6 linked regions of the Callithrix jacchus genome follow. The protein of the gene in region 3 purifies or fractionates together with the protein of the main gene of each other region. This does not show direct contact. Links are inferred from orthologs where the notes say so. Each region holds a gene or a part of one and is shown on either strand. Other genes may lie near its edges.

The links.
Region 1: the proteins of EIF2AK2 (region 3) and DHX30 purify together in Homo sapiens (affinity purification with mass spectrometry; 3 studies listed by BioGRID and IntAct, with this or other methods). This does not show direct contact. The link is inferred for Callithrix jacchus from reciprocal best matches to the Homo sapiens genes EIF2AK2 and DHX30.
Region 2: the proteins of EIF2AK2 (region 3) and STAU2 purify together in Homo sapiens (affinity purification with mass spectrometry; 3 studies listed by BioGRID and IntAct, with this or other methods). This does not show direct contact. The link is inferred for Callithrix jacchus from reciprocal best matches to the Homo sapiens genes EIF2AK2 and STAU2.
Region 4: the proteins of EIF2AK2 (region 3) and ADAR purify together in Homo sapiens (affinity purification with mass spectrometry; 3 studies listed by BioGRID and IntAct, with this or other methods). This does not show direct contact. The link is inferred for Callithrix jacchus from reciprocal best matches to the Homo sapiens genes EIF2AK2 and ADAR.
Region 5: the proteins of EIF2AK2 (region 3) and ZNF346 purify together in Homo sapiens (affinity purification with mass spectrometry; 3 studies listed by BioGRID and IntAct, with this or other methods). This does not show direct contact. The link is inferred for Callithrix jacchus from reciprocal best matches to the Homo sapiens genes EIF2AK2 and ZNF346.
Region 6: the proteins of EIF2AK2 (region 3) and STAU1 purify together in Homo sapiens (affinity purification with mass spectrometry; 4 studies listed by BioGRID and IntAct, with this or other methods). This does not show direct contact. The link is inferred for Callithrix jacchus from reciprocal best matches to the Homo sapiens genes EIF2AK2 and STAU1.

What each region holds. Positions count from the first base shown.
Region 1 is NC_133516.1:30,550,125-30,554,377, forward strand, and holds part of DHX30 (ATP-dependent RNA helicase DHX30), read left to right. Parts: intron 1-313; coding exon 314-615; intron 616-1,037; coding exon 1,038-1,158; intron 1,159-1,841; coding exon 1,842-1,991; intron 1,992-4,253.
Region 2 is NC_133517.1:29,341,339-29,346,158, reverse strand, and holds the start of STAU2 (double-stranded RNA-binding protein Staufen homolog 2), read left to right. Parts: upstream 1-1,815; 5' UTR 1,816-1,843; coding exon 1,844-1,897; intron 1,898-2,355; exon of another isoform or gene 2,356-2,469; intron 2,470-4,820. UniProt on the Homo sapiens protein: RNA-binding protein required for the microtubule-dependent transport of neuronal RNA from the cell body to the dendrite.
Region 3 is NC_133515.1:77,877,461-77,882,223, forward strand, and holds the end of EIF2AK2 (interferon-induced, double-stranded RNA-activated protein kinase), read left to right. Parts: intron 1-1,389; coding exon 1,390-1,443; intron 1,444-1,521; coding exon 1,522-1,644; 3' UTR 1,645-3,699; downstream 3,700-4,763.
Region 4 is NC_133519.1:15,010,758-15,015,010, reverse strand, and holds part of ADAR (double-stranded RNA-specific adenosine deaminase), read left to right. Parts: coding exon 1-1,725; intron 1,726-3,838; coding exon 3,839-4,022; intron 4,023-4,253. UniProt on the Homo sapiens protein: Catalyzes the hydrolytic deamination of adenosine to inosine in double-stranded RNA (dsRNA) referred to as A-to-I RNA editing.
Region 5 is NC_133503.1:69,132,799-69,137,743, reverse strand, and holds the start of ZNF346 (zinc finger protein 346), read left to right. Parts: upstream 1-1,950; 5' UTR 1,951-1,984; coding exon 1,985-2,159; exon of another isoform or gene 2,160-2,219; intron 2,220-2,425; coding exon of another isoform or gene 2,426-2,494; intron 2,495-4,945.
Region 6 is NC_133506.1:44,265,896-44,270,866, reverse strand, and holds the start of STAU1 (double-stranded RNA-binding protein Staufen homolog 1), read left to right. Parts: upstream 1-1,722; 5' UTR 1,723-1,966; intron 1,967-4,971. UniProt on the Homo sapiens protein: Binds double-stranded RNA (regardless of the sequence) and tubulin.

The sequences.
Region 1 (4,253 bases), on a different chromosome or scaffold from region 3:
GTAGGAGGCAGAGGTTGTAGTGAGCCGAGATTGTGCCACTACAGTCCAGCCTGGGTGACAGAGTGAGACCCTGTGTCAAAAAGGAAAAAAAAAAAGGTATCTTCTGCTCAGCCATTGCCATGTGGGATTATTTGTCTCAAAGCTAGGCATCTTTCAGTGTTCCATGCCCACTTCTGGACTAGGGGCTGAAGTGGGTTAACAGATGAAAAACTGGCTCCACAACACAAGGGACTTCACGGTGTAGATGGACATGGGCCATGCCGACTGGGGTAAAGATAGTATGAATCTTTTCAGCGTCCCTTTTCCCCTCCAGGGCTGGGGTCTGCTGGGTCCCCGGAATGAGCTGTTTGACGCAGCCAAATACCGAGTGCTAGCTGATCGCTTCGGCTCCCCTGCTGACAGCTGGTGGCGTCCGGAACCCACCATGCCCCCTACTTCCTGGCGGCAGCTGAATCCGGAGAGCATTCGGCCAGGGGGACCTGGGGGCCTATCCCGCTCTTTGGTTCGGGATGAAGAGGAGGATGAGGAGGAAGAGCTAGAAGAAGGGACCATAGATGTTACCGACTTCTTGTCCATGACCCAGCAGGATTCCCACACCCCACTCAGGGACTCAAGGTACAGAAGGGGGCTGGGGATGCAGTAGAGGCTGGCTGTACCTTGACACAGGGTTGTGCGAATGTTCCTTGCTAGCCTTCTCTGAGATGGGAGTGCCCCGCCTCACATTTCATCCTGTGTGTCCCGTCACTCAGCATATGTCTGCGTAGAAGCCAGCTATGGTCTTCTACTGTGTGGCTGGGCTTTTGCAGAACAGCAGCATGGAGCCTTTGCCCTCTGCTGTCTTATCTGTGTGGGGGCATGGAGGGAGCACTCCCCATGCGGTGTGACTCTGGGAGCAGCAGAGATGTCCAGTTTCCCATCCAGTTCATGCCTCCTGGCTCCCTGCTGCAGTGCAGCGTCCTCACTCCTGCATCTCAGAGCCTTGAGGAAATGGGTCCACGAAGAGAGAGAACTTTCAGCTAAACTTTTGTCCCTTCCAGGGGGAGTTCCTTTGAGATGACAGATGATGACAGTGCCATTAGGGCTCTGACCCAGTTTCCACTTCCCAAGAACCTTCTGGCCAAGGTGATTCAGATTGCAACGTCATCCTCCACAGCTAAGGTGAGTTAGCTCTCCCAGAAGTGTGTGTGGGGTGCTGACTTGGTCACGTCCAGTGTTCCCCAGAGGCAGGCTTACGGAAGGCTGAGGGGCCTGTTCTCTAGCCCACACCTAGGCCAGCTGGGGGAGCTCCGGCTCGGAAGGAAAAGTAGCAGATGTGACAGAGCCAAATCCCAGCAGTACAGGGAGAGGGCCAGGGGCTGCAGGAGCAGACGGCCTACACCTGCACCTGTTCTGGGTGGTGTGTTGTCAGTTGGAGGGGTTAGAGGTCTGGGTCTATGGTGAGGTATGAATTCCTCTCTTGCTACCAGGCAAAGAGGCTTTGGGTAAGCAGAGCTTCTGTCCAGGTGCAGGGCCTTTTTGCTCCTGCAGTATGTGCCTGGTTTTTAGCTCATGCTGACAGCTTCAACCCATAGCTGCCAAGGAGGGCAAGTCGTGGCATTGCCTGAGCACTGTCTTCTGCAGTGGAGGTTGAGCTATAGCAGGAGGAGCGAGCCCGGGACTAGGCTGCCTGAACCCATGGGCCTGCTTCTGGCTGTGCAGCAGCACTTTCAGCGTGGCTCATGCCTGGCACCTGCTGAGGCGTTACTTCCTTCCATGTCTGGGCTCCTTAGCATTCTGAGAAGGCCCCAAGTCTCTTCTCATTTCCTCCCTTTCTGTAACCACCTCTCTTGCCTTCCATGTAGAACCTCATGCAGTTCCATACTGTGGGAACCAAGACCAAGTTGTCTACGCTCACCCTGCTTTGGCCCTGCCCCATGACCTTTGTTGCCAAAGGGCGCCGCAAAGCAGAGGCTGAGAATAAGGCGGCAGCCTTGGCCTGCAAGAAACTGAAGGTGAGTCCAGTAAGGTCCTGGGTGTGATGCATGAAGATATCTTGAAGCTCCCCTCTACCTGTGGCAAATGGGTCTCATTTTCTAGGAAATGAAACCACCACAGCAGGCCTTTTGCGTGGCACAAAGACAGCTGGTGTGCGGGCCTCATTTTTAGGCCCTGTGGCTGTTTTCACGGCTTCCCCAGAGCCCCTGTGGAGATGCTTTGCCTGTGGCCCAGCCTTTTTCACACCGTTGGCCTGAACGTGGTGAAGCCAGGAGGAAACTTGCTCATCGTTCTGAATAGTATAAAGCTGGGAGGAGCTGAGCCTGTTTTGGGAGGCAGACCTGATGTCCAATATGATCCTGATAACCTGGGCTTTGTGGCCAAAATGAATAATGTGAGCACAGAACAAGGATTGACTGGTAGAACTAGAGGCGGTTTGAGCTTTGGCCTGACACACATGCGCTGATGCGCAGGACTTGTGACTGCAGTGAAGATCAAGGAAGCAGTCAGCATTGGGTGGAGGCAGCGTGGCAGGCAGCTGGCAGTCCTCTCTTCTGAGACAGGGTCTCTGTGACCCAAGCTGGAGTGTAGTGGCACGATCACAGTTCCCTGCAGCCTTGGCCTCCTGGGCTTAAGTTATCTTTTCACCTCAGCCTCCTGAGTAGCTGGGACCATAAGCACGCGCCACCATACCCACCTAATTTTTTAACATTTTTTTGTAGAGACAAGGGTCTCACTGTGTTGCCAAGGCTGGTCTTAAAATCTTGGGCTCAATTGATCTTTCTGCCTTGGCTTCCTAAAGTGTTGGGATTGCAGGCATGAGCCATCACTCCCAGCCATGGCAGTTCTCTTGAAAAAGGGGCTGTGGAGTTAGCTGATGGCACAGTTAATGGGAGGGGGATTGTCTTTTTTTTTTTTTTTTTTTGAGACGGAGTTTCGCTCTTTTTTTTTTTTTTTTTTTTTTTTGAGACGGAGTTTCGCTCTTGTTACCCAGACTGGAGTGCAATGGTGCGATCTCGGCTCACTGCAACCTCCGCCTCCTGGGTTCAGGCAATTCTCCTGCCTCAGCCTCCCGAGTAGCTGGGACTACAGGTGTGCACCACCATGCCCAGCTAATTTTTGTATTTTTAGTAGAGACGGGGTTTCACCATTTTGACCAGGATGGTCTCTATCTCTTGACCTCGTGATCCACCCGCCTCAGCCTCCCAAAGTGCTGGGATTATAGGCGTGAACCACCGCGCCCGGCGGGATTGTATCTTACTGCCTGAGGAGTTACGAATCTCAGCCCATGTTGGTGGAGGTTTAGTTTGCGGTATAAGATGGAAATAGGCCTGCTTTACTCTGGATGGTCAGGTGCACCATTTCACTGGTGCATTTGGCTCTGGGAACCACATTTTAGTTACAGCTGATGGTGAGAGGTAACAAGAACCTGGAGAAAGGTGAGGAAGAGGGGACAGGCAAGTGGTGAGGTAAAGGGGGAGGAATGTACTCCCTATGACGGGAGCGCAGAACAAGGACTGACTGGTAGGACTGGAGGCAGTCTGAGCTTTGGCCTGACGCATACGCGCTGATGAGCAGACAGGCCTTAGCATGGTAGGGGCCTGTCTGGGAAGGAGCAAGCTTTGCAATGGCTGGAGGGCCATGTTTCAGTGAGGCTGGTGGATAAAACCCTTGAAGTCTGGGGAAAGGGCAAAAAGCCTGTCCTGCAGCACGGAGCTTGTATTGGCACCTTCTGTGTTATGGGGCCTGGTTCCCTGTCCTTGAGGTCCTTACAGCTGATGGTGCCAGCACGCCCAGAGGCAGGGGGTTGGCCCCTGTTGAGGGAAGACTTCTTTAAGGAGGGAGTGTTCAATCTGGGCAGACTCCAGACATTAGAGGTGACAGGAACACAAGACTGGTCTTACCCATGTGCCTGAGGTATTAGAATGCCACATTTTATCTTTGGTGAGGCAGCTTTAGATAAGACACAGTATTTTCCTTCCAGTGGCTCATTTTATCAAGTTGCATTATAATCGATGTTTACAGAGAATTCCATGTACATCTGTATATGATGGGGTCAGAGATGGGTCAGGTGCCATGTAGAGACTGGGAGGTGGGGTGGAGGGATGGCGGGAGGGAGACTTGGTGAGGCTTGGTGAATCAGCGTAGGAAGAGGGAGTCTGTGGTGTGTTCTGGCATCACTGAGGGCCTGGCCTGGCTGGGCTGAGAGTACATGTTGGGAATTCATGGAGGTGACAGTGACCTATTGTGATGTCAGGGGAGCTCCAGCCACACAGCAA
Region 2 (4,820 bases), on a different chromosome or scaffold from region 3:
ATGTGCCCATCACCACACCTGGCTAATTTTTGTATTTTTGGTAGAGATGAGGTTTCACCATGTTAGCCAGGCTGGTCTCGAACTACTGACCTCGTGATCTGCCCGCCTTGGCCTCCCAAAGTGCTGGGATTACAGGCGTGAGCCATTTCACCCAGCCAAGAAGGTGATTTTTGAATGCTGGGAGAGATAATTTGTTCACCAGGTGAGAGGAGGGTAGAGGGTAGCCTGCAGCGAGAGATAATAGCCAATGGAAAGGCACAGAGATAGGTGGCTTGACCTTTGGTATGGCTGGTGGGAAGGGAGGATACTCATTCAAAACATTCAACAATTTTTGGTCAACTTCTTCCAGTCAATAATGGATGCGTGGACTGCATATACAACAATACTGCAGGTGACTCATGCCTGTAATCTCAGCACCTTGGGAGGTTGAGGCGGGAGGATCACTTTAGGTCAGGAGTTTGAGACTAGCCTGGCCAACATGGTGAAACCCTGTCCGTACTAAAAATACATAAATTAGCTGGGTGTGGTGGCATGCTCCTGTAATCCCAGCTACCAGAGACAGGAGAATCAGAGGTTGCAGTGAGCTCAGATTGTGCTCCAGTCTGGGCGACAGAGCAAGACTTCCTCTCAAAAACAAACAAACAAAGATATAGTTCTTTTACTGTATGTTTTCTATGTTTAGATATGTTTAGGTACAAATACCATTGTGTTGCAATTGCCTACAGTATTAGTACAGTAATGCACCGTACAGGTTTGTAGCCTAGGAGCAATAGCTATATATCATATAGCAAAGGTGAATAGTGGGCTAGACTACCTAGGTTTGTGTAAGAACACACTATGATGTGCACAAAATGACAATCGCTTAATGACACGTTCCTCAGAACATAGTTTCCTCTGGTTAGGTGAGGCATTCTACTGACTATATTAGAATGCTGACTAGGTGTTGAGCCCCTAGAAGGAGCGCTACAGATTTAGGGAGGATGCAACATGTTAAATCTGAGGGAACTGGCAGAGGTGAAAACGCGCAAAGAGTTCTGGGAGGAAAAATATAGCTGTAGCTAACATTGTGCTGGGAGAGGTACTACATGCCAGGCCCTACTTAAAGGGCTTCATATGCATTGTCACATTTAAATAGAAAATATCACATGTAGTCTCCTCCTGATGCACAGGGTAAGTAACATTTCTGCGGTCTCCTCTCCAGTTAGCAAGCGGATAACCAGCCTTAGTATTTGACTCTGGCGCCCGGGCCCTTAACCAGAACACACCCTACCTTTCCAGTTGCAGACAGGAGATTGGTTTTAGATGATGACTGAAATTACCGGCCTGGGAGACATTTCTCAGTCAGATAAACGACACTGGGAAGAAACCCTAGAAATAACGTTGCAAATGGATAAGTTTGCGAAAACACACTAATAATTCGGTTTCGAAATTTCTTTTATTGTCAGATTATTTTTGGTGCCGTTTAATAAACGAAGTGTTCAGTTTCATCGAGCTTAACTGGGTTGAAGTTATTCAGACAAAAGTAATCCAAATCAAAATCAGGACGAATCAAGAGGTAATTTGTGTTTTCTGGCACTCTTGCTGCATAAATCTAGGATCTAGGGCATTGTTTTCAATGGTCCTCATTTTTGGCTCCAAGGATTTCTTTTTCATGTGACTCATTCTTTCGGTGGAGGAGGAGGTCTGGCTACGCCGCCGGTCTTGGCGAGCAGGTGATTACGGATCCCTGGTGTTTGCTGGGCGAGACGGTGAAACAAACTCCTCCCCGCCCCCTCCCCCGTCTGGAAAGGTGCAGGATCCGCTAAATCGTGCGTCGCACAGCGGCGGCCGGAGCAGACGCGGGATGGTCGCGCGTCCCCTGCACGGCAGAGAGGGGCAGCCAGAGAGCCTGGGAAAGGTACGAGCGGGGAATCCGAGCACAGGGTGCAGATCAGAAAGAGCAGACGGTCAGTCGGGCGGGGAAGGAAGTTGCGGAGTGCAGGTGTGGAAGGGGCTGCCCCAGGCCCACCCTTGGCAGACGAGGGGGTGGGGAGCCGCGCCGGGGACGAGGAGACTGCGGACGGGGCGCGCTCCTCGCGCACTCGCCCGCCCGCGTGCCCAAGGCCCCCGGGAACGGCCCTCGCCCTGGGGTCCAGCTCCCCGCCGCTGGCCCCGCAGAGCCTGCAGCTGCGGGGGCCCGGCAGCCGACAGGGGGCGGGAGCGGCGTCGCGAACAATGGCCGCGCTGAGTCGCGGGCTGGCGGGAGGCGGAGTGGAGGTAGAGCTGGCGCTGGGCGCGCGCGCCGGCCAGGCGTGCTGGGGCGCGGGAGCGGCTGCGCAGGCGGGGGCGCGCGGCGCGAGCGCCGGGGAGGCGGGCGGAGGCGGGGGGCGGGGAGCCCGAGGGGTGGAAGCCGGCGGCGGCCGAGCGGGGTCAGTTCACTGTAGTGTTTGCCAATGTTGGAGCCGTCGGCAAAGTGTCCCCGGCAAGAAGGTAAATACCCCTCATCTGGGGCGCCCGGGAGACCCCGACTTCCGCCCCTACGGCGGAGGAGGCAGAGGGCGCTGGGGAGCCTTGCAGGTCCGCGGCGCGGTGAACCCGGAGAACAGCGGCCCCCTTCGCGGCCTCCCCTCCCCCGCGCCTTCCCTCCCTCCTCCGGCTCTCTCCGGGCGGCGGCGGGAGGGGAGACCGGCGGGGGAGGGAGGGAGGGCCGGGAGGCGAAGCAATTGGGGTGTGGGGGGGCGTGTGTGGTGGAGGGGGTGGGACGACACAGGTGTCCTGAGGGAGGAGCCGGGAAGAAGGCGAGGAGGCCGGGCCAAGTCGGGGTGCAGAGGTGGGGGAGGCAGGAGCGCGGCTGTGGGCGCTGGAGGCTGGGGGTCTCGGAGGCCAGGGTGGTTACGGCCGGAAGAGGGGACGGCGAGTGCAGCCGCAGTGTGGCCGTGAGGGAGGGGGAGCACCTGGGGGAGGACTGAGGAGGGCGACCCGGGGAGGGTCTGCGGGGAATGGGCCTGAGGGTGCTGGAGGCGGAGCGACGGGGCCGGGGCGCTCCGGGGGGTGGCGGCGGCTATTTCTGTAGAATGGGTGAGTGGTAAAGACGTAACTTGCCGAAATGGGGAAGGTAGGTGGGGCCGAGGGGACAAAATATATCCTATGACGGGCAAGTTCTGCTGTGGCTCCTACGAACTCATACCATGATGGCTCGGCTTAAAGGGGTAGTTGGCGGTAGTGACCTTGCCAGGGTGAAGGGAGTTGGGCGAGGAGACAAAGCTCTGTTACGGAATCCACTGTGTGAGAGCAGGAACTCCGATCTCTCCGGGGGCAACCCGGGGGCTGTGGCCCGGAGGCGGGGGGTGCTCCGCAGAGGCGATTGAGGAGCACGCCACGCTGGGATTCTGGAGGGGATGGGCATAATGGCCGTGGGGTTCTGAAAGTCCTTGGATGTATGTGTAGAATTTTGCATTTGTGAATAATTTTCTTTGGTAAGGGTCCATATTGTCTGTGATGTCCCCCTACCCCCATCCCCACTCCAAAGGGTTAAGAACTGTTTAAGTAGATAGAGAGGGACCATTCAATTCGGATAGACCTGGGAACTTACCAAAGGATTTTAAAGTGGGTGGATCCTGAAGAAAGGATGGAGATGATCCTTTAAAGATACTTTACTGTTAACTGAAAAACGTTTATTATTTTATGTTTGATTTTATAATTTTAGTGAACTTTTGCTGAGCATTACTTGGTTTCTGATGCATCCTCTGTTTTAGACCAGCATAGTGAATACTTGAAATCAAAATTGTGATGGGCAGGCAGGATGATAGTAACGTTGGAGGAGAAAATATTTCAGTATTAAGCCAGGATATTTTTTCCCCGTCCTTGCTTTCTCTAGGTGGTTCAAGTATACAGTTGTGAACTGAGCTGCGGTGGAAAAATGTTATTTAATAAAACTACCAAAACCAAGACTTACTCTCCATTTCTGTTTTGTAATATGGCAAGATTTTCATTGTTCAATTTGTATTTTACTGCGAACCAGAGATATCACATATCACTTTAATTGTAGATTGCTGCATTTTGCAGCAGGCCTGTATTAAATTTGTGAAGCAGTTATGCCAAACTATCTGGTGTGTTTGTGTGTTTTTCCTGCTATGGTTTCAAGTCAAGTCACCATTGCCACATTTTATTATATGGTAGGGTAGTCTGAAATTTATTCCTAAGTGATGATTAGTTGGTAGGATATGGTACATACTTGCTCACAAATTACTGCATATTTTTTTCCATAAAAACCAGTGTTTTGTATTTGTAAGAATGTTGCTGTATGATCCAAGTATGTATTGTTAATTTCAAATAGAATGCTGTGTAATTTAAAAATTTTAATTTATTTGGAAATAATTTCAACTTTACAGAAAAATTACAAGAATAATACAAACATTTTGGTAACCTTTATTCAGATTCACCTGTTAATGTTTTCTGCATTTATTATTTGCTCTCTATCAGACACAAAATATTTTTCCCCTGGACCATTTAAGTTACATACATTGTGGTCCTTAACTCCTAAATACTTCAGCTTGGAAAATCGTGTGAATTTTACATTTTAGCTTACTTGGCTTGTCTGGAATGAAGTGCTAGGAAGGGTGACTTGGTTTGCTTTTCAACAAAGAATATGAATATAAAAAAATCTGAGATAGTCATCAAGCTTTTAAATATACAGATAATCCAGAAATCGAGGATTACTGTTTAGGTTCTAGAAGAGATAGTCTTCCAAATGGTTTTTGTTTTTTTTCCTTTGTGCCTACCCTTCTCTTTACTCCTGTTATCTCCTTTTTTTTTAGACACGTTCAGTGCTGGGTATCTGA
Region 3 (4,763 bases):
TTAGCTGGATGTGGTGGCGTGCACCTGTAGTCTCAGCTACTCGGGAGGCTAAGGCATGAGAATGGCTTGAAGCCGGGAGGTGGAAGTTGCAGTGGCCTGGGTGACAGAGTGACATTCTTTCTAAAAAAGAAGCCTTCTTCTCAAGATGCACCTCAGCCTCCTGAGTAGCTGGGATTACAGGCACACGCCACTGTGCCCAGCTAATTTTTTTTGTAATTTTAAGTAGAGACGGGGTTTCACCATGTTGACCAGGTTGGTCTCGATCTGCCGACCTCGTGATCCACCCGCCTCGGCCTCCCAAAGTGCTGGGATTACAGGCTTGAGCCACCGCGCCCGGCCTAGGATGCTTATTTTCTAAAAGAGAAGATAATATAAGAAAATTCCATAAGCATTTTAGGAGAAGGTATGAAGTCTGTGGAAGCAGCTGGGAGGGACATCTTTCCAGCTAGCTGTAGGGACTTAGGTTTCATGGAGACACTAAGCTGAGCTCTGAAGGATCTCTAATAGTCCAAAACAGAAAAGGTGATTCCAGCCTGGAGGCGGGAATGTACAGAGCATATTTGGAGACAGCAGGCAGTGTAAGTGTAAGTTGTATTGGAGTATGTAAGTTACAAGGAAGCAGTGGTTGTTGAGAATAGAAAGATAGGTTAGGCTAATTTGAGGTAAAAATGTAGACTTTCTTGCTTAGGCAGTGGGGAGCCCACTAAAGACAGCAGGCAACTGGATATCCTACTTTTTCTTTTTTTTTGCCCAGGCTGGAGTGCAATGGCACAATCTTGGCTCACTATAACTTCCGCCTCCCATGTTCAAGTGATTCTCCTCCCTCAGCCTCCCAGGTAACTGGGATTATAAGCATGTGCCACCATGCCTGGCTAATTTTTTTGTTTTTAGTAGAGATGGGGTTTTATCATGTTGGTCAGGCTGGTCTCGAACTCCCAACCTCAGGTGATCTGCCCACCTCGGCTTCCCAAAGTGCTGGGATTACAAGTGTGAGCCACGGTGCCCAGCTAGATATCCTACTCTTAAATTCAGGAAAGGGAACTCTCCTGGAGTCAGTAACCTTATCCTCTGTAAAACAGTTAGAACCTACCTATCACATAGGGTTCCACAGTGCATGAAGGGAGATTGTGAAGATAATGCACTTAACACTTCAGTCATGCTGCAAGGATGGTTATTAGAGTGGGGGTAGGGTGTTTGTATTAGAGCATAGGGTAGGGTGGGAGAGAGGGAATCCTGCTTGCTTCTTGGCTAAAGAGACTTTCCCCAAAATCTGGAAATAGCCTACATTTCACAGGTATCTCCAGCCTTTAATTCTGTTTGTTTTTCCTCCCAAGTAAATAATTTCCTAATATATACCTATCTTTTTTTTTTTTTTTTTTTTTTTTTCAGTTTTTCACAGACCTACGGGATGGCGTCATCTCAGATACGTTTGACAAACGAGAAGTAAGCACTTGAAAATCATCAGAATTTTATTTATTTCAGTGTTTTATTTTTTACTATTGATTCTCACTGTCATTACAGAAAACTCTTCTACGGAAATTACTCTCAAAGAAACCTGAGGACCGACCTAACACATCTGAAATACTAAGCACCTTGGCTATGTGGAAAAAACACCCAGAGAAAAATGAACGAAACACATATTAGAGCCCTTCTGAAAATGTCTCTGCTTCTGATTTGCAATTTTCCTTGAATTATCTAATAGATATTTACCTTTTAACTTTTCCCTCTAATTTTTTACTACATTTGCAGAAAGGTTTTCTTCTTTTCGCTTCAGAAACATTCTTACATGTTATTTGTATCTATTATAATAACTGCTTTAAAGACAACTGTCCTGTAAGGCAGTAGCTACGAAGAGAAAATAGTCCAAATAGTCCATCGGGCAGGGGTGAGATCACTTTCTACTGAGGACAGTCCAGTGGGCCTCCCAAGTATATGTGAGGGTGTTAGATTACGAGTAGGGAGGATACCACCCAGGAAGTCTGGACAAGGGGACTGGGGTGAGTTCTGGAGAAGGTGTATTTGAGGACCATGGGGTATGCTAGTTTGTTGTCCTGAATTGCTGTAGAGAATGCTGAAAGATAATTTGGATTGTATCTGAGAAGACCTTGAGGGTTAATTTTAACTTTAGAGCAATTGTTTTCTTTTCTTTTTTTTTTAGATGGAGTTTCGCTCTTGTTACCCAGGCTGGAGTGCAATGGCATGATTTCGGCTCACCGCAACCTCCGCCGCCTCCTGGGTTCAGGCAATTCTCCTGCCTCAGCCTCCTGAGTAGCTGGGACTACAGGCATGCCCTGCCATGCCCAGCTAATTTTTTGTATTTTTAGTAGAGATGGGGTTTCATCATGTTGACCAGGATGGTCTTGATCTCTTGACCTCATGATCCACCCGCCTCGGCCTCCCAAACTGCTGGGATTACAGGCTTGAGCCACCGCGCCCAGCCTAGAGCAATTGTTTTCATTTGTTTTGTATTGCTTTAAATGGATAGTTGACGCTGGATAATTTATAAGGGAAAGAGATTTCTGTAACTTACAGTTCTGCAGGCTGTATAAGCATGGCACAAGCATCTGCTTCTGCTCAGGCTGCTTCCACTCATGGTGAAAGGTGAAAGGGAGTCGGATGTGCAGAGGTCACATGGCAAGAGAGGAAGAAGAGATAGAGGGAGAAGGTGCCAGGCTTTTTTTTAACAACCCGCTCTTGAGGAAACTAACAGATTGAGAACTCCTTGCTTCCCACCCCTAGGCATGGCATTAATCTATTCGTGAGATCCCTCACGACCAAAACACCTCCCATCAGGTCCCACCTCCAACATTGGGATCAAATTTCAACATGAGGTTTTTTGTTGTTGTTGTTGTTTTTAATTGTACTTTGGGTTCTGAGGTACATGTGCACATCCTGCATCCTGCAGGATTGTTGCATAGGTATATACATGCCATGGTGGTTTGCTGTCTCCATCCCCCACCTCCCCCGCTGCCTTGCCTACATCAGGCATTTCACCCAGTGTTATCCCTCCCCATCTTCCCTGCCCCCTCACTGCCCCTACTCCACCTCACCTAGCCCAGTGAGTGTTGTTCTCTTCCCTGTGCTCAAGTGTTCTCATTGTTTATCACCTACCTATGAGTGAAAACATGCGGTGTTTGGTTTTCTGTTCTTGTGTAAGTTTGCTGAGAATGATGGTTTCCAGGTTCGTCTGTGTCTCTATAAAGGACACAAACTCGCCATTTTTTATGGCTGCATAGTATTCCATGGTGTATATGTGCCACATTTTCTTTGTCTAGTCTATCATTGATGGGCATTTGGGTTGGTTCAGGTCTTTGCTATAGTAAACAGCGCCACAACGAACATACGTGTGCATGTGTCTTTATAATGGAATGATTTATAATCCTTTGGATATATACCCAGTAATGGATTGCCGGGTCAAATGGAATTTCTATTTTTAGATCCTTGAGGAATCGCCACACTGCCTTCCGTAATGGTTGAACTAATTTACACTCCCACCAACAGTGTTTCTAGTTAGGGCTTTGAAAATAAACAGCACAGTATACACAAAAGTAAATGACAACGTGGTAGTATATTTTACATTGTTTTACAGTTTCAAATTTCATATGAATGTTCTCAAACAAATTTTAAAATTCTTTTCAATGTTTTGGTTCCCTTGATGTTCCTTGTTGCGTATGTATAAAGTCATTAAAGACCTAAAAATAAGTTTTTATTCATATTGAAAGCCTGATTTTTTTTTCCTTAAGATGAGGGTCTCTCACTATATTGCCCAGGCTGATCTCAAACTCCTGGGTTCAAGGGATTCCCAACCTCACCCTGAGTAGCTGGGACCATAGGCATGCACCACCGCACCTGGCTGAAAGCCTGGATTTTTATCCTTCGATAGACAAGAACAGAAGGATATCTCCCACACTCTAAGCTGGTCTAGTTTTATTCCTAGGCCTGTAAATGTAGACCACAATCCTGGTGAAGTCATGGGTTCCATCAGTGTTATTCTGGCATTATCAGCATAATTGTTATCAACATGTTTAAAATATTTTAGGCCATGGAGCAGGTGTGGGTTGTCCCCATAGTAAGAGGAGAAAGGGAAGCCAGTTCCTGTCTAACTCAATTCCATCTGAAATTGTCCATTCAGCTTTGGGATTTGACTGAAAGTTGTTATGTTGGCTGATAATAACAAAGTATTGCAAGGGTAAAATGTGCTCCTCTGTTTTATTAGTAGCTAGGAATATAATTATATATATACATATACATATATATGCGTTTTGTGTATATATATATATTTTTTGTTTGTTTGTTTGAGACAGGGTCTTGCTCTGTCACCCAGGCTGGAGTGCAGCAGCATAATCTCAGCTCACTGCAACCTCTGCCTCCCAGGTTCAAACAAATCTCATGCCTCAGCCTTCTGAGTATCTGGGATTACAGGCATGTGCCACCACACCCAGCTCATTTTTGTACTTTTAGTAGTGATGGGGTTTCACCATGGTGGCCAGGCTCAAACTCCTGGCTTCAAGGCCTGCCTTGGCCTCCTAAAGTGCTGGAATTACAGGAGTGAGCCACTGCACTTGGCCAATTTTATAATTTATTTTTTTAAACAATAAAGTAAATATTAACCAACAGCATCCAACCATATAACTATTGTGTGTGTGCGTGTGTGTGTGTATACACACATTCATAAAAATAATGGTTAGTTTTCTGGATGAAGAACTGAGGCCCAGAAGTTAACTGGATTAGTGGTTCAAGCTAGGCTACATTTTAGAATCAAG
Region 4 (4,253 bases), on a different chromosome or scaffold from region 3:
CCTCAGTGGATACTACCCCTATCCATTTCAAGGCTATGAGCACAGAAAGGTCAGACACCAGCAGCCTGGGCCGGGATCTTCCCCCAGTAGTTTCCGACATAAGCAAATAGAGTTTCTCAAGGGCCAGCTCCCAGAAGCACCAGTGATTGGAAAGCAGACACCGTCACTGTCACCTTCCCTCCCAGGACTCTGGCCAAGGTTTCCAGCACTACCTGTCTACAGTACCGGATTCAGGAAAGAGGAGATCTGGGGTGTCCCCAGGAGCGTGCATTTTGGAAGGCAGGGGCTCCAAAGAGCATTCCAGCATCCTTCACCACGTGGTAGGATTCTGCCACAGAGAGGTGTCGATTGCCTTTCCTCAGATTTCCAGGAACTGAATATCAACCAGGATCAGGAACAAAGGATCTTAAAGCTCTTGAAAGAGCTTGGAGAAGGGAAGGCCACCACAGTACATGATCTGTCTGGGAAACTTAGGGCCCCAAAGAAGGAAATCAATCGAGTTTTATACTCCCTGGCAAAGAAGGGCAAGCTACAGAAGGAGGCAGGAATACCCCCTTTGTGGAAAATCTCGGCCTCAGCTCAGGCTCGGAACCAGCACAGCAGAGCAGTGAGACCAGACGGTCATAGCAAGGGAGCCCCAAACTCAGACCCGAGTTTGGAACCTGAAGACAGAAACTCCACGTCTGTCTCAGAAGATTTTACTGAGCCTTTTATCACAGTCTCAGCTCAGGCTCGGAACCAGCTCAGCAGAGCGGTGAGACCAGACGGTCATAGCCAGGGAGCCCCAAACTCAGACCCGAGTTTAGAACCTGAAGACAGAAACTCCACGTCTGTCTCAGAAGATTTTACTGAGCCTTTTATCACAGTCTCAGCTCAGGCTCGGAACCAGCACAGCAGAGCAGTGAGACCAGACGGTCATAGCCAGGGAGCCCCAAACTCAGAACCGAGTTTGGAACCTGAAGACGGAAACTCCACATCTGCCTTAGAAGATCCTCTTGAGCTTTTTGACATGGCTGAGATCAAGGAGAAAATCTGTGACTATCTCTTCAATGTGTCTGACTCCTCTGCCCTGAATTTGGCTAAAAATATTGGCCTCTCCAAGGCCCGAGATATAAATGCTGTGCTGATTGACTTGGAAAGGCAGGGGGATGTCAGTAGACAAGGGACAACCCCTCCCATGTGGCATTTGACAGACAAGAAGCGAGAGAGGATGCAAATTAAGAGAAACGTGAACAGTGTTCTTGAAACAGCTCCGTCTGCAATCCCTGAGATTCAAAGGCACGCAGAGTTCCCCACCTGTAATTTACCCACGTCAAATGCCTCAAATAACATGGTAACCACAGAAAAAGTGGAGAATGGGCAGGAACCTGTCGTAAAGTTAGAAAACAGGCAAGAGACCAGACCAGAGCCAGTAAGACTGAAACCACCTGTTCATAACAATGGCCCCTCAAGAGCAGGGTATGTTGACTTTGAAAATGGCCAGTGGGCCACAGATGACATCCCAGATGACTTGAATAGTATCCGCGCAGCACCAGGTGAGTTTCGAGCCATCATGGAGATGCCGTCCTTCTACAGTCACGGCCTGCCACGGTGTTCACCCTACAAGAAACTGACAGAGTGCCAGCTGAAGAACCCCATCAGTGGGCTGTTAGAATATGCTCAGTTCGCTAGTCAAACCTGTGAGTTCAACCTGATAGAGCAGAGTGGACCACCCCATGAACCTCGGTAAGAGACCACCCAGGAACTACCCACGGTTGGGTTCAGATGCTCTTGCTCCTGACACAGTGTTGGCTGATGTGTGAGTGGGGCTGTTTGGTGGCTTCTGTCTTTTCCTCCTTCCCTTCTGCCTTGTAGCTAAATCCTTGATTGGCCCTTTCTCCAGCTGTTGAGCAGGGAATATAGACTTTGGACCAGCCAGAATCTTGGTTGAACAAGGGGGAGGTTGACTCTGTTGGCTGTAATGAAGCTTCTTTAGAAATGACTGGTCTTGGAAGCTAGGTGTGGTGGCTCACACCTGTAATCCCAGCACTTTGGGAGGCCAAGGCGGGCAGATCATGAGGTCTGGAGTTCGAGACCAGTCTGGCCGAACACGGTGAAATCCTCATCTCTACTAAAATACAAAAATGAGCCAGGCATGGTGGTGCGTGCCTATAATCCCAGCTACTTGGGAGACTGAGGCAGGAGACTCGCTTTAATACAGGAGGTGGAGGTTGTAGTGAGCTGAGTCACGCCACTGCACTCCAGCCTGGGCAACAGAGCGAGACTCCATCTCAAAAAAAAGAAATGATTGGTCTTCATCCATCAATGCCATACTTGCCTCCTAAGGCCAGAGGTAATGAAGACTTAACTCCCTTCTGCGGGCCTTCCTCTCCTCCCCAAGCTGTTTCTGAGAGAGGTGCAGGAGCAGGTGGGTTGGGGCAGGCTGCACACACAGAGTGGGGGTGGGTTGTGCTGCTAAGCAGCACAGGTCCGCAATCCCCCCTCTGCACAGCTCCTTGGGGGAGGGATGGAGGAGCGTGTGCACGGCTGCCTGGCTGCCTATTGAAGGTGATGGTTCTAATTTTATATACCTCCTCTGCACAGATGGGTGGGCTAGCACTTGCTGCTGCTCCTGAGCTGTGAAGTCAGCGATTACCTCACTCAGATAGCTGGCCAGGCCCTGCACTGTAGGGTCCTAATGGGCCAGTAGACAGATAAAACAGGAGCTGCTGAAGGGCATAGCAGAAAGCAAAACCACTGAAGCTGGGTGGCTGCAGCTGCAGCCAAGGAGAGAGCCAGTGGGTTGGGGAGAATTCCACTGACCCTTATGCTTACCTTGCCTGGTTCTAGGGGTGTAGATTCCTGGCTAGGGCCCTTATTCTTTGTCTTGACTGTTTTCATGTCACCACATTGGCATTTCAGGAGAGCTGTTAAGAAAAGGGGGTATGTCTGTCCAAAAGCTGGCAAGGCCAGAGCTGGATCGTTTGTTTGGAGTAGAGACTGGATGGCTGTCATTCTCTTTTGCCTCTGTCCCTCCCCGGAGTTGGAGGAAAGCAGTGGATTTTGTGGTTAATCATTCTTTAGACTCAGCACTATAAGAAACATTGGCGCCATGTTCAGTATTTCAGAAGACCTAGGAAATAAGAAATTTGACCTACTTCCCAAATGAAATCGTAGATTGAGCAAAGAGCTGACCACATTTGAAAGCTTGAACAAAGCAGGGCCTAGGCTAAGTCCAGAGGCCTAGAACAAATGCTTTTTATTGTCTTCGTAACAAAGGGAAATTCCTTTCATCTCAGGCTTGAGACAAATGGAGCAATAGAGTGACTTGTAACAAACCATAGTGATAAATGTCTAGTGACGAAAGCAGGCCACTGATGAGTGGCAGATGCCTGATCCCTGCAGGTACTGGGGAGCGTGAGACTGGGTTATAAGAAACTTTCACTGTCTTTTAAGACCCTCCCTTAAGGAGGCCAGTCTACCACAGTCGCTCTAGAATGAAGGTCTTTTGGTTGTCAACAAGGCTGTAATGGCAATTTTTGGCTTATTGTGTGTGTGCGTATGTGGGGGGGGGGGGGAGAGAGAAAATTCATTGTTAAGAGATAGTGGGTTTCCCTTGAGATAGTTTCATATCACCTGTGCTCGTGTTTGCTTCTATGGGGAAAGAGTCACTGGCAGCTTTGTTTACAAAAAGAAAGGACAGGTTGAACCTTCAAAGGAGTAGGAGTTCCTTGGCCTACCCTTCATCCCCTCCACAGGTCAAAAGCCCCTTAGCGTAGCAGAAAATTCCAGGTTGAAGGTCTCTTTGGAGAAGGCAGAAGGAATGACCTGTTCACACATCTAACTGCTTTCCATCAAGATTTAAATTCCAGGTTGTTATCAATGGCCGAGAGTTTCCCCCAGCTGAAGCTGGAAGCAAGAAAGTGGCCAAGCAGGATGCAGCTATGAAAGCCATGACAATTCTGCTAGAGGAAGCCAAAGCCAAGGACAGTGGAAAATCAGAAGAATCATCCCACTATTCTACAGAGAAAGAGTCAGAGAAGGTCGGTGTCCTCCTGCCGTCTGGGAGGGTATCAGTTCGCTGTCAGTGTCTGTGAATATAAGGATTGTAACTGACTCCCCCGAAGCAACCCCAGCCTAAGCAACTGACACTGCCTCAGAGTCAGCTTCCCGCGCTTCCCTCTACCCTACCTCACCAGCCTACCTTTCCTCCTCTCATACCCAGCTCCTCTCTCTGCCGCTGTCCCAGCATAATTGGATTTACAGTATTTCAG
Region 5 (4,945 bases), on a different chromosome or scaffold from region 3:
TTCCTAACTTCCTTTTTTTTGAGACGAAGTTTTGCTCTTGTTGCCCAGGCTGGAGTGTAATGGCAGGAGCTTGGCTCACCGAAACCTCCACCTCCCAAGTTCAAGTCATTCTCCTGCCTCAGCCTCCCAAGTAACTAGGTTACAGGCGCACGCCACCACACCCAGCTAATTTTTTATATTTTAGAAGAGACAGGGTTTCTCCATGTTGTTCAGGCTGGTCTTGAACTCCCGACTTCAAGTGATCGGCCCACCTCAGCCTCCCAAAGTGCTGGGATCACAGGTGTGAATCACCATGCCTGGCCTACTGTTAACTTTATTATTGTACTCCCCTCCACTACAATAAAAAATACTCTACTAGAGCTTCCCTGTCTTGGTCACCAGTATATCTCCATGCTCAAAATATCTAGTTCATAGTAAATCCTCCATAAGTATTTGAACAAATGAAGTTGAAATAAGCTAGTAATATTAAAAGCTTCATTCATTAAACAAATATTGTATATGTACCTAGGAGGGTCCAGGTTCTATTTCAAGGTGCTGGAGATTCAGGTGCGATGAAAATAGACAAAAGGCCGGGTGCGGTGGCTCATGCCTGTAATCCCAGCCCTTTGGGAGGCTGAGGCAGGCAGATCATGAGGTGTTTGAGACCAGCCTGGCTAACATAGTGAAATGCCATCTTTACCAAAAATACAAAAATTAGCTGGGCGTGGTGGCATGTGCCCGTCATCCCACCTACTCAGGAGGCTGAGGCAGGAGAATCGCTTGAATCTGGGAGGCAGAGGTTGCAGTGAGCCGAGATCACACCACTGCACTCCAGCCTGAGCGACAGAGGGAGACTCCATCGAAAATAAAAGAAAATAGACAAAAATCCCTGCTTTCCTGGGGCTTGTCTTCTAGTAGGGAGACAATAAACAAAATAAAATATATACAAAATAAAGCAGGAAAGAAGGACATGAGTGTGTGTGGAGGAGTAAAATTTTAGATGGGATAGCCAGAGAAGATAATTTAGATAGAGTAGCCAGAGAAGAAAATGGGAGACCAAGCCATAAAGATATATAGAAGAAATGCACACAAGGAGGCCTGTGTAACTGGGACAGGAATTAAGGAGTTGGAGACTGAGTAACACACGAGGAAATGAGGTCAAGGAGATTAAGGGAATTCAGAATGTACAGGACCTTGTTGGTCAATGTAAGAACTTTGGCTTTTACTAAGTGTGAGATGGGAAGCTGCTGGAGGATTTGAGAACCAAAGCGTCGTGATCTGATTTGTCATGAGAGGATCCCTGGGGCTGCTGTGCGGGGAATACCAGTGAGAATGTTACGACCGTAACCTAGGCAAGAGATAGTGGCTCCCAAAGACACGAGAAGGTGCAGCTCGGGGGTTGGAAGATAAAATATGGGGTCTGACAGTTACATTGGAAAGCCTATTAGCCATTCTAGTGGAACTGTGAAATAGGCAACTGGATGTATGTAACAGGTCCGGAGTCGCGGGGAAAATCAGAGCTGGGCTGGCATTTAGAAGTCAACAAATAGTACCCATTATTAGCAGTAATACGGAACCTCAGCTGTACTACCACTTACTAGCAGCGAACTCTTGAGTTAACCATTTCTAGGCTCTGGGTGTTTCCCTGTAAATGAAACGGCGAAAACACTCCCACTTAAAGGGACCTTGAGAACGAAATGAAGTGTTAAAGACTGACCGTGAGCAAAGTGAGAGCCCTGAGTCAAAACCGCACGAGTCCCTCCGGGAGGGAAGTCACTGCTGTGGAATCAGCGACGGGTTTCCGAATCTACAGCACACGCTCCGGAGTCCCAGAGGTAGCAAAGAAAAATAAGCGCCAGGTCCCGCACGGCGGCGCTGGTGCAGCGCCCAAACCTCGCGAGATTTGTTAGCCGAGCCAAGTTTCCACCCCCTCCACCCCGCCCCCATCTCGCGATACCTAGGCGCCTGAGCGGCTTTTGGCCAACGGTTAGGGCTCGCGAGGAAGATGGAGTATCCCGCACCGGGCACCGTGGAGGCCGCAGACGGCGGAGGGGCCGGGCCTTATAACAGCTCCAAGGAGCTGGAGCGCCAGGAGCCGGATGGGGTGCGCTTCGACCGCGAGAGGGCGCGCCGCCTGTGGGAAGCAGTGTCCGTTGCCCAGCCAGTGGGGAGGGAGGAAGGTGAGTCGGAGGCAGGAAGCCCCTCACGCGCCCACGCGGCTCGCCGGGAGCGGCGGAAGCGCGGGTGGCACCGTGAGCCGGCCTCCGGGTGTGCGGTCACACCCCCTGGCCCGCCTCCTTCCGTGCTGCGCCCCGGGACTCCCAGACTTGTGCTCCCCATCCGGGCGCTGGCACCCCAAGAATCGGGCCCCCAGCGCGTTGAGGATGAAGGACCGCTCACGCTCAGGCCCTGGATTTTTCCCCTCCTCAGTCATCATTCATCACAGCGCAGTTTTTCCCAAACTCGAGGACTGTCATCCCTATACTTGACCTTTCGGAGACCCACAGCCTTTGCTGTGGCACTCCCCGTAAGCCGAGCCAAGTGTCCCTCACCACTCTTTGACTCCTCATCGTCCCAATCTCCAGATTTCCCCCCGAGGGTCTCTTGCCTCCCTCCTCTCAAGCCCCACACTTCGAGGGCTCTGGAAGGCCTTCTCCTTACCCCCTGAGTTCCTCCTGTTCTTGGTGACTGAACCCTGACTTACTCCTGTTTCTAGCTCTCTGGCCTCTACTTGCTGGGTCCCTTATTCTAAGGTGGGGACCAGGAGCCCGAGAAACTGGTCTGGGTGTGCTTTGGCTCCAGCTTCTTTATGTCCTACACTTGACCCAGAGTTGCTGAGAACAGCGTAAGCAACGCCACGGCAGGGGTCACTTCTGGGCCGAAGCGTCCCAACTTGGTCTGCACTTGACCTAAGACTGGGTAAGATGGGAGATAGAAAGAGAAGGATGGAAAAGAGCTGTCCTGACCTGCTTTTGTGACCCCTTTCACCGTCCTTTGTAGAGCCGGCTGCTTAATGCTAACCCAAATGTACAAGAACTTTATCTGAGCTTCTATGCTAACCCTGTCAGGTATATGCAGGGAAATCAGATTTCTCCAGTGATTTGTTTGCTTGCTGAGCAGACTGTCTTGGAAAGTTTAATATGCTGTTTGTGAACTAACTGCCCTGGATAAAATTGAATTTTTGGCCATATCTAAGGAAGATATGTTTAAATTAGGGGTGGTACACAGACCTATACCTTGGTATATACTTCACCAATTTAAAAACAAGTCTAGCCTGTCTCCTAAGTTAATGTATTTTATATATATACACACACATATATATCTGAAAGAGACAGGGCCCCAGAAATGGTGTGTGTATATATATGTTTTATACACACACACCCCATCACCCCATTTCTGGGGCCCTCTCTCCTTTTATATATACAAAAAATAAGGCCCTCTCTCTTTTTTTTTTTTTTGTGAGTGGGTCTCATTCTGTCACCCAGGCTGAAGTGCAGTGGCACAATCTCACTGCAACCTCCGCTCCTGGGTTCAAACAATTCTACTGCCTCAGCCTCCCCAATTAATTGGGATTACAAGCAGCCACTATCATGCCCGGCTAATTTTTGTGTTTTTAGTAGAGATGGAGTTTCACTATGTCGTCCAGGCTGTTCTCAAACTCCTGATCTTAAGTTATCCGCCTGCCTCGACCTGCCAAAGTGCTGGGATTACAGGCGTGAGCCACTGCGCCCAGCTCTACTTTCAAACTTGTTTGGTAATTTCCTCCCCCAACCCCAATTTTCCTTTCATTAATTTGATAAACATTCACTGATGCCTGCTCTGGACCCAGAACTGGTTGGGCTTCAGAGCTACAGCTTATCGGAGGAAGATACTGCCCTTGCCCTGGGGAGGTTTGCAATCTAGTCCAGGAAGCAAACACCAAAACAGTTCCAGTGTAATGTAAGGGATGCAGTGATGAATGTTTTAAGAGTTGGGGGTGAACAAAAAGAAAGTGATGTTTGCCCTGGATCTTGAAGCAGAAAACACAGAGACTGTGCTTTGAAAAGTGAACTGTCTGCTTATGTGTGTATGAGTACAGTGGCACTGTTATGATCCAGTTCATTTCCCTGTTCTCCTCACTTCTTCCACATACATGAAATCTAGGTAGATACCTGCAACACTAAGTTCTACTTACCCTTTTTTTTCTTCTAGCCCTTTCATTGAGTTATAATTTATATACCACACAACTCACCCATTATATCTCCAATGATTGTTAGCAAATGTACAGAGTTGTATAGCCATTACCACAATCCAGTTTTAGAACATTTCCATCAACCCGGTTAGTTCCTTTGAGCTCATTTATATTAAATCCCCACTCCCACCTCCTGCCCTAGGCAACCGGTGATCTGTTTTCTGTCTAGGGTAGTCTTTGGAGTTTGGCTTCTCAGCATGTTTTTGAAGTTCAGCCAAGTTATGGTGTGTATTAGTACTTCATTACTTTTTGTTGATAAATAGAATTCCACTGTATGACTATAACACATTCTATTAATCCATTCATTAGTTCTAGACATTTGGATTGTTTCCTGTTTGGAGTTTTTGTGAATAATGCTGCTATGAACATTCATGCATAAGTTTTTGTGTGAACATACGTTTCTTTTCTTGAGTATATCCCTAAGAATGGAATTGCTGGCAGAGCACGGTGGCTCACGCCTGTAATCCCAGCACTTTGCAAGGCAGAGGTGGGCAGATCACCTGAGGTCAGGAGTTTGAGACCAGCCTGGCCAACATGGTGAAACTCCATCTCTTAAAAAAAAAAAAAAGAATGGAATTGCTGGGTCATATCATAACTCTAAAATATCTTTTTAATTTTTATTTTTTATATTTTTATCAAAATGATCTTGTCGCAGTAACTCTAATATTTTGAAGAACTACCAAACTGTTTTCCAAAATGGTTTCACCTTTTATATTTCTGCCATCAGTGTGTGAG
Region 6 (4,971 bases), on a different chromosome or scaffold from region 3:
GCCGAGGCGGGTGGATCATGAGGTCAAGATATCGAGACCATCCTGGTCAACATGGTGAAACCCCATCTTTACTAAAAATACAAAAAATTAGCTGGGCATGGTGGTGCGTGCCTGTAGTCCCAGCTACTCAGGAGGCTGAGGCAGGAGAATTGCCTGAACCCAGGAGGCAGAGGTTGCAGTGAGCCGAGATCGCGCCATTGCACTCCAGCCTGGGTAACAAGAACGAAACTCCATCTCAAAAAAAAAAAAAAAAGAGGTCAAAGGATTGAGACCATCCTGGCCAACGTGGTGAAACCCTTTATAAAAAATAAATAAATAAGAAAGAAAGAAAGAAAAAAAAAGATCACTTTCAGCAGAGGGCTGGACAATATCTGAATGTTCCTAAGTACTGTCTTGGATGGGCACTAAAGGAACGGTGAAAGTCCTTTGACTATTTTCGGTGTTCTGAAACTCAGTCTCATTGCACTTCAGAAGAAGCAATGTAAGGAGGTCTTGTCTAGAGAAAGGTGTCCTCCCAGCCTTGGATAAGGCTCCAAAGCCTCGTTTGGAGGGGCTTCTTCAGACACAGCCGCTCATATTCTGAATTTATATTCCTTTGGCAAGAGAGATTGAGCAATATTTAAACTGAGAGATATCTGAGAGAGAGATAATTATTTTTAAATAGCAGGGAAGCAGTTCGAGTGAGCAGGAGAGAGGAGCCCTGTGCACTTGCAGTTCTTCACTCATTCTCCGTTTCCTGGACCTCTCACAACGCGAGCATAATTTTCGCTGAGTGTGATTCCAGAAGTTCAATATTCTCTACTGGCCACCCTGTTCTCCCTCCAACCTCCCATATAACATGGCTGCTACAAACCACGTAGTTTATCTAGATGTGGATAAAAGAAATAGCAATCTGGCACTTCTTTTATCTCACTATAAATTTTATTTTTTCTTTGAGACAGAGTCTCGCTCTGTCACCCAGGCCAGAGTGCAGCGGCGCGATCTTGGCTCACCGAAACCTCCGACTCCCTGCTTCGAGCGATTCTCCTGCCTCAGCCTCTCCAGTAGCTGACATATCTGGCGCCCGCCACCACGTCCGGCTAATTTTTGTATTTTTAGTAGAGACGGGGTTTCACCATGTTGGCCATGATGGTCTCAATTTCCAGACCTCGTGATCCACCCGCCTCGGCCTCCCAAAGTGCTGGGATTACAAGCGTGAGTCACCGCGCCCGGCCAAATTTTCTAAATTTATTTATTGTGTGTTTTACTCACACAAGAATGTAAGCTCCACGAGGGCAGGGATTTTTGTCTGTTCACCACTACATCCCTAGCTCTTGGCGGAATGCCTTGCATACAGCAAGCATTTAATGAACATTTACAGATGAAGGAAGAAACATTGCGGGAAGGAGAGAAACGAGGGCCAGAGGCAGGAGAAGAGGAAGAACCGAGAGAAGGAAGGAAGAAGGAAGTGGAGGAAAAGAAGGCAGGCTGGTTCTCCCAGCCCCGCTACTAGTCCAGCAGGCAGCGCGAAACTCCCACCGGAACTACAATTCCCGGCAGGCCCCGGGGCCCCAGGGCTGGCCGCAGCGGCTCAAACCGGACATGGCTTCACTCCCGCTGGGCTACCGGCGTGCCTTGCGAGCGCAGGTTGTGCCGCAGCGCCCGCCGGAACTTGTGGTCCTGGCCGCGGGTGGGGGTGGCGGCGGGCGGGGGCCGGGGGCGGGCGCCGGCCCCTCCCCCGTCACTTCCTGCCGGGCTGCGGGCGCCGGAGCGGCTCTTCAGCGTTTGCGCTGGCGGCTGCCGTGTCTTACTCGGCTCCCCCTTCCTTTGACCCCCCCCCCAGCCCGGCGGCGCCCGCCTTCTCCGTGGCCACTCCGCCTCTTCCCTCCCTTCGTCCCGTCCTCCTCTCCTTTTTTCCTTCCCTTCCCCTCCTCGCCGCCGCCGCCCAGGACCGCCGGCCGGGGGACGAGCTCGGGGCAGCAGCCAGGTGAGGCGGCCCGGCCCGGCCGGGCCTGGCGGGGCCCGCGCTGGCGCCGCGGCGGTGGGGAGTGGGCGGCGGGTGGGGCCTAGGCCTTGGCGGGCCTGCGCGCCCCGCCGCCTTCCCCCGGGCCTCTCTCCAGCCCGCGGGGCCTTCCCGGAGGAGGCGGGTCCTCCTGCGCCCCCCGCCTCGGGGCGCCCTGAGGCCTGGCCCCCGGGCGCCCCCATCCGCTTCAGCCCTCGCCGGGGTCACAAACAGGTGCCGTGGCCGCCTTTCCTCGTCCCGCATGGCGCGCGCGGGGATGCCGAAGTTATTCCCGGGGCTGAAGCTGGGGGTGGGGGGTCCCCGTTTTAGGTCCCCGAGAACTGGAGCCTCTCAGTCTCGCCGGCCCAGGTCTGCAGCTTAGTGGTTAAGAGCACCGCCCAGGTGTCCAAAACGGGTGCTAATCCCGGCTCTGCCCCATTAGGCAAGACACTTAAACTCTTTGTGTCCTGGTTGGAAAAGGGGCTGCTGATACAGTCCCTGCCTCTTATGGCTGTTAGGGTTCAGTGAAATGGGGCGTGTAAAGCGCTTATCAGAGTGCCAGACCCACAGCGTGTCCCAATAAACCGTCTGCATAATTTATTAGCGTGATATGAAGGATAATTTAATGGGTAGAGTGGATAGAAGTTGACCTACCTATCCGTTTGGGTTTCTTAGAGGCTCAGTGTTGCGCGTGCCCGTGTCCAGAGCCAGGGCATTGTTTTGAGTTGTTAACATCTGAAAGAGGCATACGCTTAATTGGAACACTGTAGTTGGCAGTCTGTAAACGATAGATGCTATTTCTTTCCATCTCCTCCGCTTAGCCAACTGCAGGATATTCACCAGCTCCCGCAGGATGAGCAACCTGTCCATTTCCCCCCGCCCGGCCATCATCCAGCTTCTTGTCATTCCATTTCTGGGAAAGTTGCTGGCAGAAGCTTCCCTTGTGTTAAGCAGACCTATCTGGAGCACTTGCAGTGTGTCAGGCTTTGAAGGGGGGGTGTACGAAAATGGAAAAATTTGTCTGTCTTTTCTTGCTCTACATCTCTTAAGTTTTTTCACCGAAGCTTTGCTTTTATTCCCCCCCTCCCTGATGGCTGACTTTCCTTTTAAGCCCTGGCCCCGCCTCCTTGTTGCAGTATTGCTTGTGTGGGAAGTTTTCTTGGGTTCCGCGAAGATACGTACTTCGGTCTGTCCTGCCACTGTTCTTTGGCCGTGTGGACCTTTTTAAGGGGTCACACTTCTCTTCTGCTTGTAGCTTTCATTGTTCAGAACGTGGTGGAAACAGTTAAATCAGGTTCCTGGTTGATTTTGGCCTTTCAGGAATCCGTGCTTACCAAATGTAAATTACGTTGCTACTTGTTGAGGTAAAAACTAAAAATATAGTTGGAGTGTAGAGGGAGCAGTTTCGGTTATCCTGGTGACAGGTGGGATTTTTAGAACAGCAACTTTATTAAAGGATACTGGGTTTTAAAAACTTTTGTACTTAGTTTTATAGGTGTACTCAAAGGAAATGCAACTTATGAATGTTAAATTTTATACGAGTAAGGAGTGTGTGTTTACCTGAGTGATCCTCCTGTATCGTTGTAGGCATTGAATTTCCTTAGTGAACTGAAAATATTTTGATTTATAACCATCTTTTAATAACACACATGTGGCAAAGTGCCCTCCTTGTTTTTGACAAATTTTCCTAGAATTTTCTTACAGCCTTTTTTTTTTTTGGAGATGGAGTCTCACTCTTGTCTCCCAGGCTGGAGTGCAGTCGGCTCACTGCAACTTCTGCCTCCCAAGTTCAAACGATTCTCCTGCCTCAGCCTCCTGAGTAGCTGGGATTACAGGTGCCTGCCATCGCTCCTGGCCTGAATTGCTCTTTTAAAACATGTGGGTCAGGCGCGGTTGCTTTCCTGTAATCCCAGCACTTTGGGAGGCCGAGGCGGGTGGATCACGAGGTCAAGAGATTGAGACCATCCTGGTCAACATGGTGAAACCCCGTCTCTACTAAAAATACAAAAAAAAAAATTAGCTGGGCACGGTGGCGTGTGCCTGTAATCCCAGCTACTCAGGAGGCTGAGGCAGGAGAATTGCCTGAACCCAGGAAGCGGAGGTTGCGGTGAGCCGAGATCGCGCCGTTGCACTCCAGCCTGGGTAACAAGAGTGAAACTCCGTCTCAAAAAAAAAAAAAAAAGTAAGCAGGCAGGGCACAGTGGCTCACGCCTGTAATCCCAGCACTTTGGGAGGTGGAGGCGGGTGGATCACGAGGTCAGGAGATCGAGACCATCCTAGCCAACATGGTGAAACTTCATCTCTACTAAAAATACAAAAAGTAGCCGGGTGTGGTGGCGGGTGCCTGTAATCCCAGCTACTCGGCAGGCTGAGGCAGGAGAATCGCTTGAACCTGGGAGGTGGAGGTTGCAGTGAGCAGAGATAGCGCCATTGCTCTCCAGCCTGGGCTGTCGCAAACTCCGTCTCAAAACAAAACACCACCACGTAACCAAACAACTAGTACACAAGCCGTATAAAGCATGTCTTCTATTGCTGTATCACAATGGCATATTGCAATAGGGAAATGGTATTTCGAATACCATTTTTTAAAAGTTTTTTTATTCTGGAAAATATGCAAAAATTGAATAGTATGTAGAACCCCATGTATTAGTCACTCAGCTCTAACAATTATTAACTCATAGCCAAGGTCGGTCTTGTTTCATGTTGCATCCCACTCTCAAACTAGATTATTTTGAAAGAAATTTTGAACATTGTATCAAAACATTAGCGATTTTGACTTTTACCAGATTGCCCCAGATTATTAATGTCACAGAATCTACTTTATTTTTTATTTTTATTTTTTTTTTGTTTTGAGATGGAGTTTTGCTCTTGTTACTCAGGCTGGAGTGCAATGGCGCGATCTCGGCTCACTGCAACCTCCGCCTCCTGGGCTCAAGCAATTCTCCTGCCTCAGCCTCCCGAGTAGCTGGGACTACAGGCACGCGCCACCA